Canis lupus familiaris: one gene and its partners. The protein of the gene in region 3 purifies or fractionates together with the protein of the main gene of each other region. This does not show direct contact. Links are inferred from orthologs where the notes say so. Each region holds a gene or a part of one and is shown on either strand. Other genes may lie near its edges.

Region 1 (5,543 bases), on a different chromosome or scaffold from region 3:
CTTTCCAGCAACAGGGAAGTAAGTCACTGCTTGGGAGAAGCTTTATGACAGTTGTCGTACATACAAAAGTCTAGCCTTATGGCATGTGTTTTACCTTAAAATCTGTAAGGTGTGCCACTGATCCTGGGGTAGTTACAAAAATGTCTCAGGCCCTTGAGAGGGGTGGGTATGGTGAGAGAAACAGACTCTGGGGCCCCAGTGGACCTGTGTTGATTTTGTCCCCTTGACCAGCCACACTACCTGTGTCAAAAAGTCTAACTCTTGGCCAGGGGAGATTTACACTAATGGTGATGTTTAGTTTAAGGAGGAGCAGCTGGGAGGAGACCATCTGATTGTACTGGGGGAAGAGGAATTAGCTGTTTGATTTTTATGTTTATTAAAAAGAGGCACGAGATGCTTTAAAAAAAAAAAAAAAAAAAGGAAAAAAAAAGCAGTTGAGCAATGCTCATGTTTGTGCCGGTTCAGTGAACCAGCTGTTTTTTTTGCTAGGTCATCATCCGTAGACAGTTCCTGTGTGATTATGATGGGAGGTGCTGGCTGGGCTCTAGTAAATCTGCAGTTTACTATTTATCCCCTGAAAGGCGCTGGCAGTGCTAAGTCACTGTTTATTTAACAGAATTGCACTGAGCACCTTCCACGGGCCACGTGCTGTGCTACAAAAGATGCAGTGCTGCCTTCAGAGAGCTGGGATGGGCAAATGCGGGAGGGCACCGGGCAGGGCAGTGAGTGCCAGGCCGTGGATGGAAGGTGGTGCACAGCGCACATCGGTGGTGCCTGGGTTACCCAGAGGAGCTGATAGCTAGGCTGAGATCATGCATGTGGCACAGGGAATCCCCACTTTCAATAGGAGCTCTGCGCCCCTTGCCAAGCCCCCTCCCCCTGGGGGAGAGGGGCTCCAGGAACGTGGTGGAGGGATTGAGTGGTCACAGACTTCTCTTTGTTTCTGAAAGATTTCTCCGTGGACGATGGCAGCCACAATTCAGGCCATGGAGAGGAAGATCGAATCGCAGGCTGCCCGCTTGCTTTCCCTAGAAGGGCGGACAGGGATGGCCGAGAAGAAGCTGGCGGACTGCGAGAAGACGGCTGTGGAGTTCGGGAACCAGCTGGAGGGCAAGTGGGCCGTGCTGGGGACCCTGCTGCAGGAGTATGGGCTGCTGCAGAGGCGGCTGGAGAACATGGAGAACCTGCTGAAAAACCGAAATTTCTGGATTCTGCGGCTGCCACCAGGCAGCAAAGGAGAAGTCCCCAAGGTATCCCTCAGGCACCTGGGGTGGGATGGCCTGAGGGGTGGTGCCTGTAAGTGTGTGGGTGAGCGTGCGTGACACTGTTCCAGGTGCCTGTGACCTTTGATGATGTGGCCATGTATCTCTCTGAGCAGGAGTGGGGCAAGCTGGACGAGTGGCAGAAGGAGCTCTACAAGCACGTGATGCGGGGCAACTACGAGACACTGGTGTCCCTGGGTAAGGCCTGATACTCATTTTTCTGTTAAATGTGATTTTGAGTGTCTCCAAACTCCTCTCCATGCTGGTGGCTTTCGTCACCAGGATGTGTAAATCACTAGAAACTCTGACCATGCAAAGAGTTATTTCCTCCTCTTACTAAAGATGAGTACCAGGTGACCGAGTCAAAAGCTCCCTGTACCCGGTGAAGTTCACAGGTTGCCAGACAGAGAGGGGTGGTGGCATTTCTCCTAACCAGGCACGGAGCATGGACGTCTCTGTCCTGCTGAGACAGAGTCAAGCCTCTGGCTGCTCTCAGGTCCAGGATGTCATGGGCCCAGATTCCTTTGGCCTTCTCTTACAGGAATATGTGGTCTTTCTGGTGACATTCCTCTGGGTTAGTGAAGAATCTGGGCAGACCATGCTTCCCATACCAGTGCTGTCTTCATCCCTCGAGGCTCTGCTCCCTCAGACCCTGGGGCCACTGTCACGGTCCACACATGGTAGCCCCAAGAGGCTGTTCCTTCCAGGGCTTCTTTCCTCTTGGCACGGTTTTGGTTTCTGTGTGACCTCAGATCTGTAGGCAGTAAGGCATGCTCAGTGAAGATGGGAACAGGTGTAGGCGTGACATTATATTTCAGTTTGAAGAAATGCACTGCTGCCTAATGGGGAGACTCTACCAGTGTTTCTTCACCTGGGCACTGACATTTGGGGCCAGATGATTGTTGTGGGGCTGGTCTGTACAATGTGGGATGTTCAGCAGCAGCTGGTCTTGACCCACCAGTGCCAGGAGCATTTCACCCCCCAACCCCCGGTCGTGACAATCAAAAATGTCGGAGCAGCCTGGATGGCTCAGCAGTTTAGCACTGCCGTCAACCCAGGGCCTGATCCTGGGGACCCAGGATCGAGTCCCGCGTCAAGCTCCCTCTATGGAGTCTGCATCTCCCTCTGCCTGTGTCTCTCATGAATAAATTAAAAAAAAAAAAAAAAGACACCAAACTGCTGAATGTCCCCTAGGAGACAAATTGCCTGTTGGTGGAGAACCAGTGCTCTATACTAATCTAGAAGTTTCATTTCTTGGCCACTCTTGGATTCCTAGGCTGCCTGTCCCCAGCTCTGAATGGGACTCCATGGCCAAAGCTAACCTTTGTGTCCTTCCTCAGACTATGCCATCTCCAAGCCCGAGGTCCTCTCCCAGACCGAACAGGGGAAGGAGCCGTGCAGCTGGCGTCGCCCTGGCCCCAAGGTTCCAGATGTTCCTGTGGACCCAAGTCCAGGTGAGGAGCTGAGAGAAGGCAAGGGACACCAGGCAGTCAGGTGGAAACAGGGAAGTAAAGGGCCACAGGGGGTATGACCTTTCCAGGAAGGGCCAAGAAGAAACCTCAGACTCGAATGTTTTAAGTCTAAGTTTTTTAATAGTTATGACCTATAGCCTGCTCTGCAGACACTCCAGGAATACTTCCCAGTGCGGAAAACAGGCAGCAAACCTAGTCTTTTAGAAGAGAGATAGGGCAGCCCTGGTGGCTCAGTGGTTTAGCACCACCTTCAGCTCAGGGCCTGATTCTGGAGACCTGAGATCGAGTCCCACGTCGGGCTCCCTTTGTGGAGCCTGCTTCTCCCTCTGCCTGTGTCTCTGCCTCTCTCTCTCTCTCTCTCTCTCTCTCTCTCTCTGTGTGTGTGTCTCTCATGAATAAGTATATAAAATTTTAAAAAAAAAGTAAAATTCTAAAAAAAGAAAAGAGATAGAGCCAGTGCACAGATCAGGGGAAGAGAAGATAGGACATTGATCGGGAAGGTAGGAGTGTGTTGAAGACAAAATTTGATTCCTTCCCAGTGTTCTGAAGAGCCAGCCTTACCCCCAGCCAGGAGCCAATCCCAGTGGCTGGCCACGTGTTTCAACATGATTATAACGACAGATTTATTTAAGGTGGATCTGGATACCCGATATCCCTGCCTCAGATCTTCCTGGAGCCAGCCAGCACCTCTGAAAGTTCAGGAGGAGGCAGGTGGCTGCGTGAGGAAAGCCAGGTTACTGAAGTGAGGCCCTCGGCAGGTGCGGGGAGGTGACAGTCCATCCCTGGCCAGGAGACCCTGCCTCTGCAGGCTCAGCCCACTTTCTGCACAGAACTGCCTTGCCTGTCCCACCTGCCTCGGGTTCCCTTGTCTGAATGCCTGTGTTACTAAAAAAGTCCTACTGTGTTTCCTTTGTGATTACTGACATGCGTCTTCCACCGTAAGTAGGCAAGTAGAGTGTCATGCTGCCAGAGCAGCCCATGCGCAGAGCCGGCCACACAGTCGGTGTTCAGGACAGCTGTCACCAGTTGAGTTCCACAGACATCCCTTGAGACTATGCTAGGTGCCAAGGCCAGAGCTGGAAGGGGAGGACAGAGAGATCACTAAGCAGAACGCTCTGTGAATGGAGAAGAGGCTTAGACATGGAGCCTGCCTTCCTAGCCTGGGGTGGGGGGACAGATGTGGGGGCCTCTCCGCTTCCCACCCCGCCACTCATGAATGTGAGAACGGGCCCAGAAATACGGTGGCTGCTGGTAAGACCCCCGACACGCCCTCCCCTCCAACACAAATTCCGCTCTCCACCTCCCCTGACATCAAGGACCCTATCACCCCACCCACATCAGCTGGAAAAGCCCTACCCCACCCCCCAGCTCGCTCCGCACCCTGTCTGTGCTTGCACAGCCCCTTGTTGGACCTGCCATCCCACTTGTCTTCAGTTCCTAAATTTTCCCACTACTTTGGGGCACTCAGTCCCTAGCAAGGCCTCAGATCCCCAGGCTCTCCCCGAGCATCCCCCTCATTCTTGTCCAAATGAGTCCTAGCTCTTCTTGCATCCTGGAGCCTGCATCCACTGCGTCCCACCCCTTCCTCACATCCAGGACAGCCGTGTCCCTGCTCCTCCATGTGGCCCCTGTGCTCCCCTCCTCCTTGGAAACCCCACCTCTCCCTCAGTTGCCTCCTGCAGACCCTGTCTCTGCTCCTGCCATTCTGGCCGGCTAGGGCAGCATTCCCAGAGGCCCTGCGAGGTCCCCAGCCTCCGCTCCCCCTCCACCACCCACCCTAAGGTCACTCCCCGCCCCAGCACCCACTGCAGACAGTGATGCACCCCTCCCATCATCTCAGTTTGAACCTGTCCCCACCCCATACCCCTCTCCTTCTTTTGCAGATCTCTCTTCCTAGGCCCTGACCCTAGCATCCAGCCCGTTCATGGTCCAGCTGGTCCTGGGTTCCCTCTTTGCCCAGCCAAGGCTCTGGCCCAGTGTCACCCTCACCCCCTCACCCCTCTTCGTCATTGTACTCACCTGGCAGAACTGTAATCTTGGTTAAATCTGCACCTGCTCCCACGCAGCTGCACACAGCTGGAGAGACCTCCTGAGCCCTGTTTTTCTCACCTGCAGGCTGGGGGGCCTTCAGCACTGCCCTCCCAAGTCACCCAGTGTCTCCTTGGTCCATTCAATTGCCCAGAGGATGGCAAACTCTGGCCCACAGGCCAAATCACCCACTGTGTTTTTTTGGCCCACCAGCTTAGAATGGTTTTCCTGTTGAAAAAACGCTGTTTAATTGAGAAAAAAAAAAAAAAAAAAAAGGAAACAACTCACAGCCCCCACCCCACCAGCCTATCTGCTTGTACCCAGGCCCTGGTCTCTGGGTTTGCTGCTGTGTCCACCCCTTCCTCCAAAGACCTGTCTCCACTGGGCATCAGACCCAGCGCAGGCTACCTTGGTGAGGCCTCGGGTTGCCTCCCCATCCTTCCCACCAGCCTCTGCCTTTGCTGTCACTTGTCCAGTTTGGGCACTGACCACTCATGACCCCACATCCCTGCAGCAACTGCCCCATTTCTACCTTCGTGTCCTGCTCCCCAGGAGTACCCTCCTCCAGTGCCTGCTTTCTCCCATTCCTCTTCCCACTCTGGAGGCCCTTCCATCAATACTCCTGTCAAGGCCACAGGGGCCCCCCATGGCATTAAAGATCTGGTCTTACCATTGGTGACATTTGCCACCATTGCTCGCTTTCTTCCCAGCTTCATTTCTTTGATGGTACTTCCTCTCCTGGTTTTCTCCTGCCTTACTTAACACCTTTCCTTTTCTGTTT
Region 2 (5,543 bases), on a different chromosome or scaffold from region 3:
TACAAGGGGTGGTAGCAACACTGGGAGTTCTGAGCCACAGGCAGTGTGGGGCGGCCCCTTGCCCACTGGGGTGGTGGTGGGAATAATGGGCGAGGGATCCTTGTGGTGAGGGTGCTACTGGTCAGGATTGCCAGGGGAGGGGATGGAAAACATTCCCACAGTGGTTTGCCTGGGGACAGGGCTACCAGGAAGGCGCCCCACACCGCCCCAGAGGTGCTAAGCCTCTCATGTCCGGTGAAGATCCGGATCATAACCAGGCCAGAACTTACTTGTCAAAGTCTGTGAACAGGTTGACTCTGAACGTGTGCTGCTTGTCCAGCTTGTAGCCATCAGCATTTTTCACAGCATCCAAGGCGTGGGCAGGAGATGCGTATTCCAGGAATGTATACCTGAATCAAGACAAGACCATTTTGCACAACTTCAGACTCTAAGACTGGGCAGGCCATGCTCAACACACCAAGACCCGTCCACGTTACTGTAAGCACCATCAAGGCCAGTGACCCATCTACCACATCCCCAAGAGTCAACTCACGAGAGCACAGGGCTTCCCTAAACACAAACGAAATCCTAACAGAAGATCCAAAGTCTTTCAGGCCACAATCACAAGTTACACAAGTTAATTAAAATGTTTACCACGTAACAGTTTCACAGATGTACACCTGTCAAATTTATGAGATTATACACTTTAAGACTAAGCAACTGTATTATACAGCAAATTTCAAATAAAGCTATTAAAAATCTTGAGACCATGCACAGTCTAATATTGTGCATTAAGAGTAAAATTATAAAGGGCAACTCTCTCAGGTCTCCTCATTCTTCAGAAGCCTTGTATTATCAGCTTACTATTGCTCAATAAACTCTGCTTTGCTACAAATAAAAATAAATTTTACAAACTTTAAAAGAATAAAAGCAAAATTATGGGGGCTCCTGGGTGACAGAGTTAAGTGTCAATCTTTGTTTCAGCTCAGGTCCTGATCTCAGGATCATGAGATCAAGCTCTGTGTCGGGCTCTGCGCACTCAGCACAGTCTGCTTGGGACTCTTTCTCCTCCCTCTGCCCCTCCCCACCAAATAAATAAATGAATTCCTCATGGAAAGTAAAATTTTAAAGGCTTTCAGTGAGTGCTTCATAACAAAACATACAAGACAAGCAACTGCTGGTCAAAAAGAGATTATCCTTCAGGATAACAATGTATCCTACAATGTATCCTTTCTACATTGTTTCTGAAATAGAAAAGGCAAGGAGCATAACCTGTATTTGGCAGTTAAAAAAAAAAAAAAAGATTTCTTTAAATCTGAGGTAGTTCCAAAATCTGAATTTAAAAAGTCTAAGTTTTATCATCTTCTCATTCCTGCCTTGTACTCTGAGGCCAGTGTCACATGAAATTCTAATGGAGAATTCTGACAAGCTTGTAGAGCAGCAAACAGAACTCGTTCTGTGGGCTGAGTGAAAACGGCTGAGAATCACCCAAACATAATTTGACATTGTCTACTTGGACTACACATGGGCATTTTAAGCAAGCCAATTCCATTCCAAGTGTATAGCAAGGAAAGGCTCACACCTCTTCTAAAGGGGATGGGTCCAAGACTGTCCCTAACTGCAAAATGCTAAATGTCAACTGACAGAACTGCTGATTATACAACAGAATAGCACAGCCCTGAAAATGAAGGAGCTACAATCACTTTTATAATACAGAACCTCACATTAAATTTAAAAAGTGAATTCTAGGACTCGTACCTCATGCTACCATTTTTAATAGTTGCACCATTTTAGGTTAACAGTAGAAAAAAAGTTGCTAATTAAGCAGTGACACACTGCTTTCACCTAAACTGTAAGAAGTATCCCCATTTCAGAGATATGAATGAGGAGGAAAAAGAATCTTAGAATCAATAAAATACCATATGTAAAATTTTCCTGAAATTTTGTCAGCTTCCAATCTGTTGGTCCCCTTTATTCAGGATGTATCTTGTATCAGTTACTACTCTGATGGCAGAAGATTTAAATTCCAAGCTCTGATTTCTTAAGAATTTAGCAGCCAACTCACAATACCCAAATTCAGGATCACCTACATCTCCTCCTGCCTGTGGAGCTCTCAGCTGAGGGAGGCAGAATGAACAGAGGCAGACGTGCCAGGTGAGGGTGCACCGTGTGTGTGTGTGTGTGTGTGTGTGTGTGTGTGTGTGTCCACAGGGACCCCAGTGCCACCTGGTTGCCACCAAAGGGTGTCAGGGACCAATACCACTCACCCTTTTGTCTTTCCATCCTCCTCTGGATAAAAATCATTTGTGATTTTCCCAAACTTGGAAAAGATCTTATGGATGACATTTTTGAGCTTCTCCAGGCGGTCGGGTCCCACCTGAGGAACGTTGTCGACTACAATCACCGAGTCGATCCCGTCGGCCTCCTGGGGCCGGTCCTTGAGAATGTCTCCCAGCAGTTCTGTACAGGTGAAAGATTTGACAAATTACTTTTTTTTGTCCAAGCAAAACATTAATACGGTTAGCACGCTAAAGAAATTCCGAAGAAGTAAAAAGTGAATAAGCACTTTCACTATGAACAAAAGATCATGACCCTGAACTGACTCAAAATTTAAACTTGAAAAAGTTAGGAAGATTTTAACTCTTCATGCTCCCTTTGTCCATCAATATGTCCATTCATTCCTGAAAATAATGGAAGATTTTAAATGATTTTTTCTTTTTATGCAGAATGCCAACAAAGAGAACAGCTTTTCTCAGGGAAAGCAGGGTGGGGGCTTTCTGACCCACCCTGAATGCAAACCCACCAGCAGGCACTTTCTTCCCATTCAGGTTAAGACAAAACAAACAACTCTTTATGTAAAATAGCCTCAGCCTAGTAAGAAGAGGAGATTAGAGAATCCACAGGTTCCTGAGAGCAAATGGCAAAGGGACCTGGGATCCCTGGGATTCCATGAGATGCCTCAGGATGCTGGAGAGGCACCAGCCATTCAGATAGTAAGTCCACAAATGTTTAGGACTGTGCTCAAGACACATTAAGCAGTACATGTTAACCACTATTTTCATAACAACATTCAAAAATTGAAAACTTAAACAACAAAACCCCAAACTAAAAACGTATTGTTCACATCACCTACTTTAAAAATTAAAATTTTAGGGATACCTGAATGGCTCAGCGGTTTAGTGCCTGCCTTCCGCCCAAGACATGGTCCTGAACTTCTGGGATAGAGTCTTACATCAGGCTCCCTGCATGGAGCCTGCTTCTCTCTGCCTATGTCTCTGCCTCTCATGAATAAATAAATAAAATCTTAAAAAAAAATTAAAATTTCAGTATTCAACATCTTAAGTACGCAAACATCTTAGATTTCCTTCATTTGCATAAGGTGAATGGCTAGGTAAGAGAAAGAAAAGAACAAGTGTGGAAGGACCAGGAAAAGCAGCTCTTGGGGAGCAGATCACAGGTGTGAGAATGGACATGGTACAGTCTGTCCAGAAGATTCAATGCCACCTGGGTGCTGCCTACTGCTGTCTACCTCAGGCCTGCTGCTGGAGACGGACATTCAGAGGTCAAATGAGTTACCAGAGAACATTTAATATAAATTCTGCACAAATCCTTAACCTAATTAGTTGCTAGTCTAGAAAGCTATAAAGTTACAAAGAGCACTGGCTGCATTAGGAGCTCAAACCGATCAAAGATGCTGTCAGAGCCACTGACAGATGAAGCTACATCAGTACATACAGCCCAAAGGAGAAACAGCTGAGGAATGTGGTGGCTTTTACTTGTGTACCTGCATGTCCTAGAACTCAATTATTACTCCAAGTTCTGAATTCTATTCAAAAATTTCAACATGTTATCCAGGATACGTGCCCATAACTATTCCTTCCTATATGTCATTCTAAGTTAATATGTACTTTCTCTACTTTTGTACTGGAAAGTTCCCATACAAAAAAGGTCAAAAAAATTTTTCAAAGTTGAAAAAAGTCTTTTAATTTCAAGAAGCAAGCTATTACAAACTATCTAATTAATTCCAACACTTTCATGAATATTAAAAGCATTACTGTAAAAAAAAAAAAAAAAAGCAATTGCCTCTCAAATTCCAAAGAGTCTAAAATTGAGAGCAAAGAAAAAAAATGAAGAGGCTCTAACTAGAGTCACAGCGATAAGAGACATCTTCACCACTGAGGCTAGAGTCAGCTCCTTGAGTCGTTTTTAAAGTTCACTTAACATACAATTAAATGGCCTGTTTAGCCTGATCTGAATTTACAAGGTTTACAATAATAAGCTCAGCTTTTATATAAACTGTGGACTCCTTCTCACAATCTTTAAGTGTCTCATTTATGAGAATGTGCCCATGTACAGTATGGGAGTAAGAGCAGCAACCGCAAAATGGAGAGAGACATCCTTCATCGTCACCAGCCCGTGTATCTGGTCACTCCTGCCCAATGGATTCCCAACCTGCCTCCGAGAGAAACAAAGAAGCAATTCTCAAAACTAAATGCCAAATGTAAAGATAAATAATACTTGATAGGGCCCAAAAGAAAATATCTTGAGATAAAAACTTTATCTTGGGTGCCCGGGTGGCTGAGCCGTTTAAGCATCTGCCTTCAGCTCAAGTCATGATCTCAAGGTCCTGGGATCCCACCTGCATAGGGCTCCCTGCTCAACAGGGAGGTGGGGGTGGGGGTGGGGGTGGGGGTGGTATGGTGTTGGTTGTATCTGCTTCTCCCTGCTTGCTCACACCCTCTCAAATAAATAACAAAATCTTAAAAAAAAAAAAAAAAAAACCTTTGTCATGTACTTGTCTGGCTGAGCATCAAAGGCAGCTGAAAATTTAAACAGATGACCTTGGGAACAATGCAACTGAGTTACAGTATAGCGTCTCAGAATTAGGAGTCAGGATGATCTCACTGGAGTATGCTGGCACCTCAAGAGGGTTCTTCATGAGACCCAGTCTGCTTTCAAAAGAACCCATCCGGGATCCCTGGGTGGCGCAGCGGTTTGGTGCCTGCCTTTGGCCCAGGGCGCGATCCTGGAGACCCGGGATCAAATCCCACGTCAGGCTCCCGGTGCATGGAGCCTGCTTCTCCCTCTGCCTATGTCTCTGCCTTTCTCTCTCTGACTATCAAAAATAAAAAAATAAAAAAATAAAAAAAATAAAAAGAACCCACCCATACCTTCTGCATCTCACTCTGACCCCGCAGGGCAGTTCTCATTAAACACAAAACATACTTGGGATCCTGACCCCAACCAGTTGGCCATGTGCCCAGTGTTAGTTCCCCAAGACCAGGAGCCTCTCAGGTCACTCTGACCAAAGCAACAGGATCCCAACACCCTCCTGGTGGTCACCTGGCCTGGCTGGCTTGTGCCCACATAAGTGTCCTGACAACTGTCACACAGCCCAGTTCTAGAAATAATTCATGTGGCAGAAAACTTGTGCTCAAACAATTGCTCTTAAAAAAAAAAAAAAACAACTATAGGGGCAGCCCCGGTGGCTCAGTGGTTTAGCGCCTGCCTTCGGCCCGGGGCGTGATCCTGGAGTCCAGGATCGAGTCCCACATCAGGCTCCC
Region 3 (5,543 bases):
GTTTCCCTTCCTTCACCTGCCCCTGCTGAAATGTTCACCATGTCTATTTCTCTCAGGTGACCCCGAGAGTGTGGCTGGCGAGTATGGACGGCACTCCCTTTACAAGATGCTTGGGTATTTCAGCCTGGTGGGGCTTCTGCGTCTGCACTCCCTTTTAGGGGATTACTACCAGGCCATCAAGGTGCTGGAGAATATTGAACTGAATAAGAAGGTGATTACTTGTTTCCCCCTGCCCTGCTACCCAGAGCCAGAGACTCTGCTTTGAGAGAATCTATAAGGACAAGTTTCAGGGAGCAAAAAGAAGATTCTTCCCCAGGCCATTTGAAAATTGAGACTTGCATGTGGACAAGGTGCTTTCTCTTTGTTGCTTAGTAATACTTGAAATGTTCAGCGGTCTTTCTATTTTCAAAACAATGATAACGTAGATTTTTATTACTCCAGTTTCACTATTTAAGGAATTTGTGAGAGACTTAGTTCTAGGATAGTATAATGATGATTAGCTGTGGTGGTTTTTTCTTAGCCACAGAAAAACTGGTATTTTCTGGACACGTGTGTATGTATCATTCAGTCTTGTTGATCTGTTTCTTTATTGGGTTTACCTGGAAAATCAAGGAGTAGAAAGCAAGGAAGAATACATAACTGAGATGTGGAGGGATATGGAGCTGAAAGAAATGTTAAGGTCACCTGATCCAGTCCCTTTTTATTATATCTAACAAGATGGAGTTCTCAGGTCATATGATTTAGTAAATGGTATAATCTGTATTCAGAGCCTCTAACTCCAGAACCAGGGCTTCCCCTGGGTAGTTCAGGGCTTCTACAGGGGGCTTCTACTTCAGCTGACACTGGACCCTGCCAACTTCCAGACTCTCTCTGGGATGTATTGATTTGGGGACTTACGGATGCTTCTGCCTCCTTCCACAGAGTATGTATTCTCGTGTGCCTGAGTGTCAGGTCACCACATACTACTATGTCGGTTTTGCATATTTGATGATGCGTCGCTACCAGGATGCCATCCGGGTATTTGCCAATATCCTCCTCTACATCCAAAGGACCAAGAGCATGTTCCAAAGGACTACATACAAGTATGAGATGGTAAGGAAGCCTTTGACCAGCTTGATGTCTTGGTACCTATGCCAACAGTTTTTGGTAAATGCTATCCAAAATTTTGCCTTTTATATGTCCTTTCAGTAGGATGATTTCTTAATGGCTGGTCTACTCTTAGTTTCTTTTGTTGTGCCTATTATTTTCAGACCATGAACTCCTTGACGATAAGGACAGTATCTTTTGTTTTACTTTTGTCCCCCAGCAGTGCCTACATTTATTCAGCAACAATTTGCTGAGTGTTCACTGGGCTGTGGGTGTTTTAAAGTGAGTTAGTTGGGGTACAACCCTCAAGCAGTTTGCCATGGAGGAGGGAGGGTCCAAGACATGCATAGAATTGGAAGGTATCTAGGCAGAGCAAAGGTGCTGAAACTTGTAGTACAGTGATGTAGCAGCACAATTAACTACTTTGTTGGAGGGCCGTAGATTAGTCAAATTGGGGTTTTGGTTCTGGGTAACCTTCACTACCCAGACTCCCAGCTGAAGTATTTAATCTTTATAGGCATTATGGTGCCATCAGAGTTTCTGGGTGACTTGGTCATAATGATGTGGGAGGATTGATGTGCCAGTGAAGTGTGGTGGGCCAGGGAGAGTGAGAAGAAGGCTCTACTAAAGAATCCAGGAGCCAGGGTAGCCTGGGTGGCTCAGTGGTTTAGCGCCATCTTCAGCCAGGGCATGATCTTGGAGACCCAAGATTGAATCCCATGTGGGGCTCCCTGCATGGAGCCTGCTTCTCCCTCTGCCTGTGTCTCTGCCTCTCTCTCTCTCTGTCTCATGAATAAATAAAATCTTAAAAAAAAAAAAGGAATCTAGGAGCCAGTTCCAGAGGCTCTGGAAGTGGGCCAGAAGTTCAGTAGATCTAGAGGGCAGATTAGGAGAGACTTCGGGAAAGTTAACTGACCGAGGTAAACTAGGGAGAAATCAGAGGTCTGAGCGTAGTGTACTTGGGAGGGTGGTGGAGCCACGTTGGATGTGGGACCTCAGAAAGTCTATCTCATTTGACCCCGCACCAATTTCTCTTGCATCCCCAGATTAACAAGCAAAATGAGCAGATGCACGCGCTGCTGGCCATCGCCCTCACCATGTACCCCATGCGAATCGATGAGAGCATTCACCTGCAGCTGCGGGAGAAATACGGGGATAAGATGCTACGCATGCAGAAGGGTGACCCACAGGTCTATGAGGAACTTTTCAGTTACTCGTGCCCCAAATTCCTGTCACCTGTGGTGCCCAACTATGATAATGTGCACCCCAACTACCACAAGGAGCCCTTCCTGCAGCAGCTGAAGGTGTTTTCTGATGAAGTGCAGCAGCAGGCCCAGCTCTCCACCATCCGTAGCTTCCTCAAGCTGTACACTACCATGCCTGTGGCCAAGCTGGCCGGCTTCCTGGACCTCACAGAGCAGGAGTTCAGGATCCAGCTCCTTGTCTTCAAGCATAAGATGAAGAACCTAGTGTGGACCAGTGGCATCTCTGCCCTTGACGGTGAATTTCAGTCGGCATCCGAAGTTGACTTCTACATTGATAAGGTATGGCTGCCCCCTGGCCTCATCCTCTGGGGCCCTCTGTCTATCCATTCAGTAGGCAGTGTTTACCAGGTGCCTGCTATTCTGAGCATTTGGGTGGGACTTAGCAGTGAACAAAATCAGCAAAGATTTCTGCCCTCGCACCCATATTCTAATGTTAAAAAACAGGCATTATCGTGAAGCAGACCATGTGGTAGGTATCAATGCAAAATGAACACACCTTTTTAAAAAATTTTTTTTTAAATTTTTTTTTTAAATTTTTATTTATTTATGATAGTTACAGAGAGAGAGAGAGGCAGAGACACAGGCAGAGGGAGAAGCAGGCTCCATGCACCGGGAGCCCGATGTGGGATTCGATCCCGGGTCTCCAGAATCGCGCCCTGGGCCAAAGGCAGGCGCCAAACCACTGCGCCACCCAGGGATCCCTCTTTTTAAAAATTTTTAAAGAAAAAAGTTTCATTTGGGCACAAGTTAAGATGGCTGCTTGGAAATACACAGTCTTCACAAAGAGGAGAGTGCTCCAGGGAAGGAACAGTTGGGCAAGAGTATATACGTTTTTGTTTTTGTTTTTGTTTTACATAAAGAGTTATAAGTCGTGATGAAAGACTTTCCAGAAAGGCTGTAAGACTGGAGTCTAATGGGAATCAGCAAGGGTTTTTTTCTTTATGTTTGGAATGCTGCTTTTTGTTTTTGTTTTTTAATGAAGCAGCTGTACAGTGTGTACTTGGGACAGGAACAGAACCCATGCTTTGAGGTTTTGCCAAGACATTTTGACCCTGGGTAAATGTTTTACGAGGAGCAGGGCCCACAGTGAAAAGTTGAAAATTTCCTTTATTTTCTCATAGGTAGAAATTGCCAAGTGCTATGCATTTAAGGGTAATGGTGCTAGAAGATAGAGGTTGCATTATTACATAAGGTGCTCCAGGTAGCCTTTGTCCAGGAAGTTAAATTGTAGCTAAGACTTGAAGGAGGTGAAGAAATTAGCCAAACAAGTATGTGGGGGAGCAGCATTCCAAGGAGAGGGAGCGGTAAAGGCAAAGGCCCTGGGGTAGGAGTGAATCCAGTATTTTTGAGGGACAGCTTCAGTGTGGCTGCAGTGGCCTGTGAGAGGGTATTGTGGCAGAAGAGAAGATTGGAGAAGAAAGCAGGAGAGGATGGTACAGATTTTTGGAAGTAACTCAGCAAGTCGGAGTTATTCTCCTGACTTGTCCCCACCCTAGATTAGTTAGCACCTAGATTAGTGCTGCCTGGTTTTGAACTTGGTGTAATGGACTGACATAGCATGTGCTCTTTCTTTGTGACTGGCTTCTTTTGCTCAGTGTTACATTTGAGAGCATCGCCATGCACAACAGTCCATCAGTGCTCACTGCTGCAGTAGTTGGCTGCGATTTTCCCATTCTAATGCTGATGGACATTTGAGTGGTGTAGGTTATTACAAAAAGTACATGTGGTTTTAGAGACTGGCTGTCAGTGGTCCACTTAAGGGTTTTTTTGTGTGTGTAATAATTTTATAGATGCTTATGAATGCAGAAGTTATAGGTTTTATTTATTTATTTATTCATGAGAGACACAGAGAGAGGGAGAAGCAGGCTCCACGCAAGGAGCCCAATGTGGGACTCGAACCCAGGAATCCGGGATCACACCCTGACCCAAAGGCAGGCGCTCAACCACTGAGCCACCCAGGTGTCCCCGCCCCCCACATCAACTATTTATTTATTTGTTTATTTATTTTTATGATAGTCACAGAGAGAGAGAGAGAGAGAGGCAGAGACATAGGCAGAGGGAGAAGCAGGCTCCATGCACCGGGAGCCCGATGTGGGATTCATCCCGGGTCTCCAGGATCGCGCCCTGGGCCAAAGGCAAACGCCAAACCGCTGCGCCACCCAGGGATCCCTCACATCAACTATTTAAAGTCCTATTCGAATTTATTCTTGGTGCCTGACATATATTCTTTGGCAGTATTGGTAACCTGCTCCATCCTCCTATCATAACTTTGTGACCCAGCTGGACTAGCCCCAATTATCTAGATGGTCTTTTTTTTTTTTTTTTTTTTTTTTTTTTTTTTAATTTATTTACTCATGAGAGACACAGAGAGAGAGAGGCAGAGACACAGGCAGAGGAAGAAGCAGGCTCCATGCAGGGAGCCCGATGTGGGACTTGATCCTGGGACTCCAAAATCACACCTTTAGCCAAAGGCAGATACTCAACCGCTGAACCACCAAGGTGTCCCATAGATTGTCTTTTTTTTTTTTTTTAAGATTTCATTTATTTATTTATTTTTAAAGATTTTATTTATTTATTCATGAGAGAGGGAGGCAGGCAGGCAGGCAGGCAGAGGGAGAATCCGGCTCCATGCAGGGAGCTTGATGCAGAACTCCAGGATCACAGCCCGGGCCGAAGGGACACACTAAACTGCTGAGCCACTCAGGGATCCCCAATTTTATTTATTTTTGAGAGTGAGCAGGAGCAGGGCTGGGACAGAGGGAGAGGGAGAAGTGGGCTCACTACCAAGTCCAGGACCCTCGGGATCATGACCTGAGCCAAAGGGAGATGCCTAACCGACTCAGGTGCTCCTGGATGGGCTTTACTAAAATACTTCTCCTGGGATGCCTGGCTGGTGCCGTTGGTAGAACATGTGATTCTTGATCTTAGGGTCGTGAATTCAAGCTTCATGTTGGGTGTAAAGTTTACTTCTAAATAAATAAAACACTTCTCCTAAGAATTAGTAACTTGGGGGATCCCTGGATGGTTCAGCAGTTTAGTGCCTGCCTTTGGCCCAGGGCATGATCCTGGAGACCTGGGATCGAGTCCCACGTCGGGCTCCCTGCATGGAGCCTGCTTCTTCCTCTGCCTGTGTCTCTGCCTCTCTCTCTGTGTGTGTCTCTCATGAATAAATAAATAAAATCTTTAAAAATA

What was found.
Region 1: the proteins of EIF3L (region 3) and ZNF746 purify together in Homo sapiens (affinity purification with mass spectrometry; 3 studies listed by BioGRID and IntAct, counting the BioPlex papers as one, with this or other methods). This does not show direct contact. The link is inferred for Canis lupus familiaris from reciprocal best matches to the Homo sapiens genes EIF3L and ZNF746.
Region 2: the proteins of EIF3L (region 3) and EIF3B purify together in Homo sapiens (affinity purification with mass spectrometry; 8 studies listed by BioGRID and IntAct, counting the BioPlex papers as one, with this or other methods). This does not show direct contact. The link is inferred for Canis lupus familiaris from reciprocal best matches to the Homo sapiens genes EIF3L and EIF3B.

The regions. Positions count from the first base shown.
Region 1 is NC_049237.1:15,145,277-15,150,819, reverse strand, and holds part of ZNF746 (zinc finger protein 746), read left to right. Parts: intron 1-950; coding exon 951-1,250; intron 1,251-1,378; coding exon 1,379-1,460; intron 1,461-2,602; coding exon 2,603-2,716; intron 2,717-5,543.
Region 2 is NC_049227.1:14,939,703-14,945,245, forward strand, and holds part of EIF3B (eukaryotic translation initiation factor 3 subunit B), read right to left. Parts: intron 2,440-5,543; coding exon 2,247-2,439; intron 390-2,246; coding exon 270-389; intron 1-269.
Region 3 is NC_049231.1:27,760,022-27,765,564, reverse strand, and holds part of EIF3L (eukaryotic translation initiation factor 3 subunit L), read left to right. Parts: intron 1-56; coding exon 57-211; intron 212-921; coding exon 922-1,092; intron 1,093-2,132; coding exon 2,133-2,630; intron 2,631-5,543. UniProt on the Homo sapiens protein: Component of the eukaryotic translation initiation factor 3 (eIF-3) complex, which is required for several steps in the initiation of protein synthesis.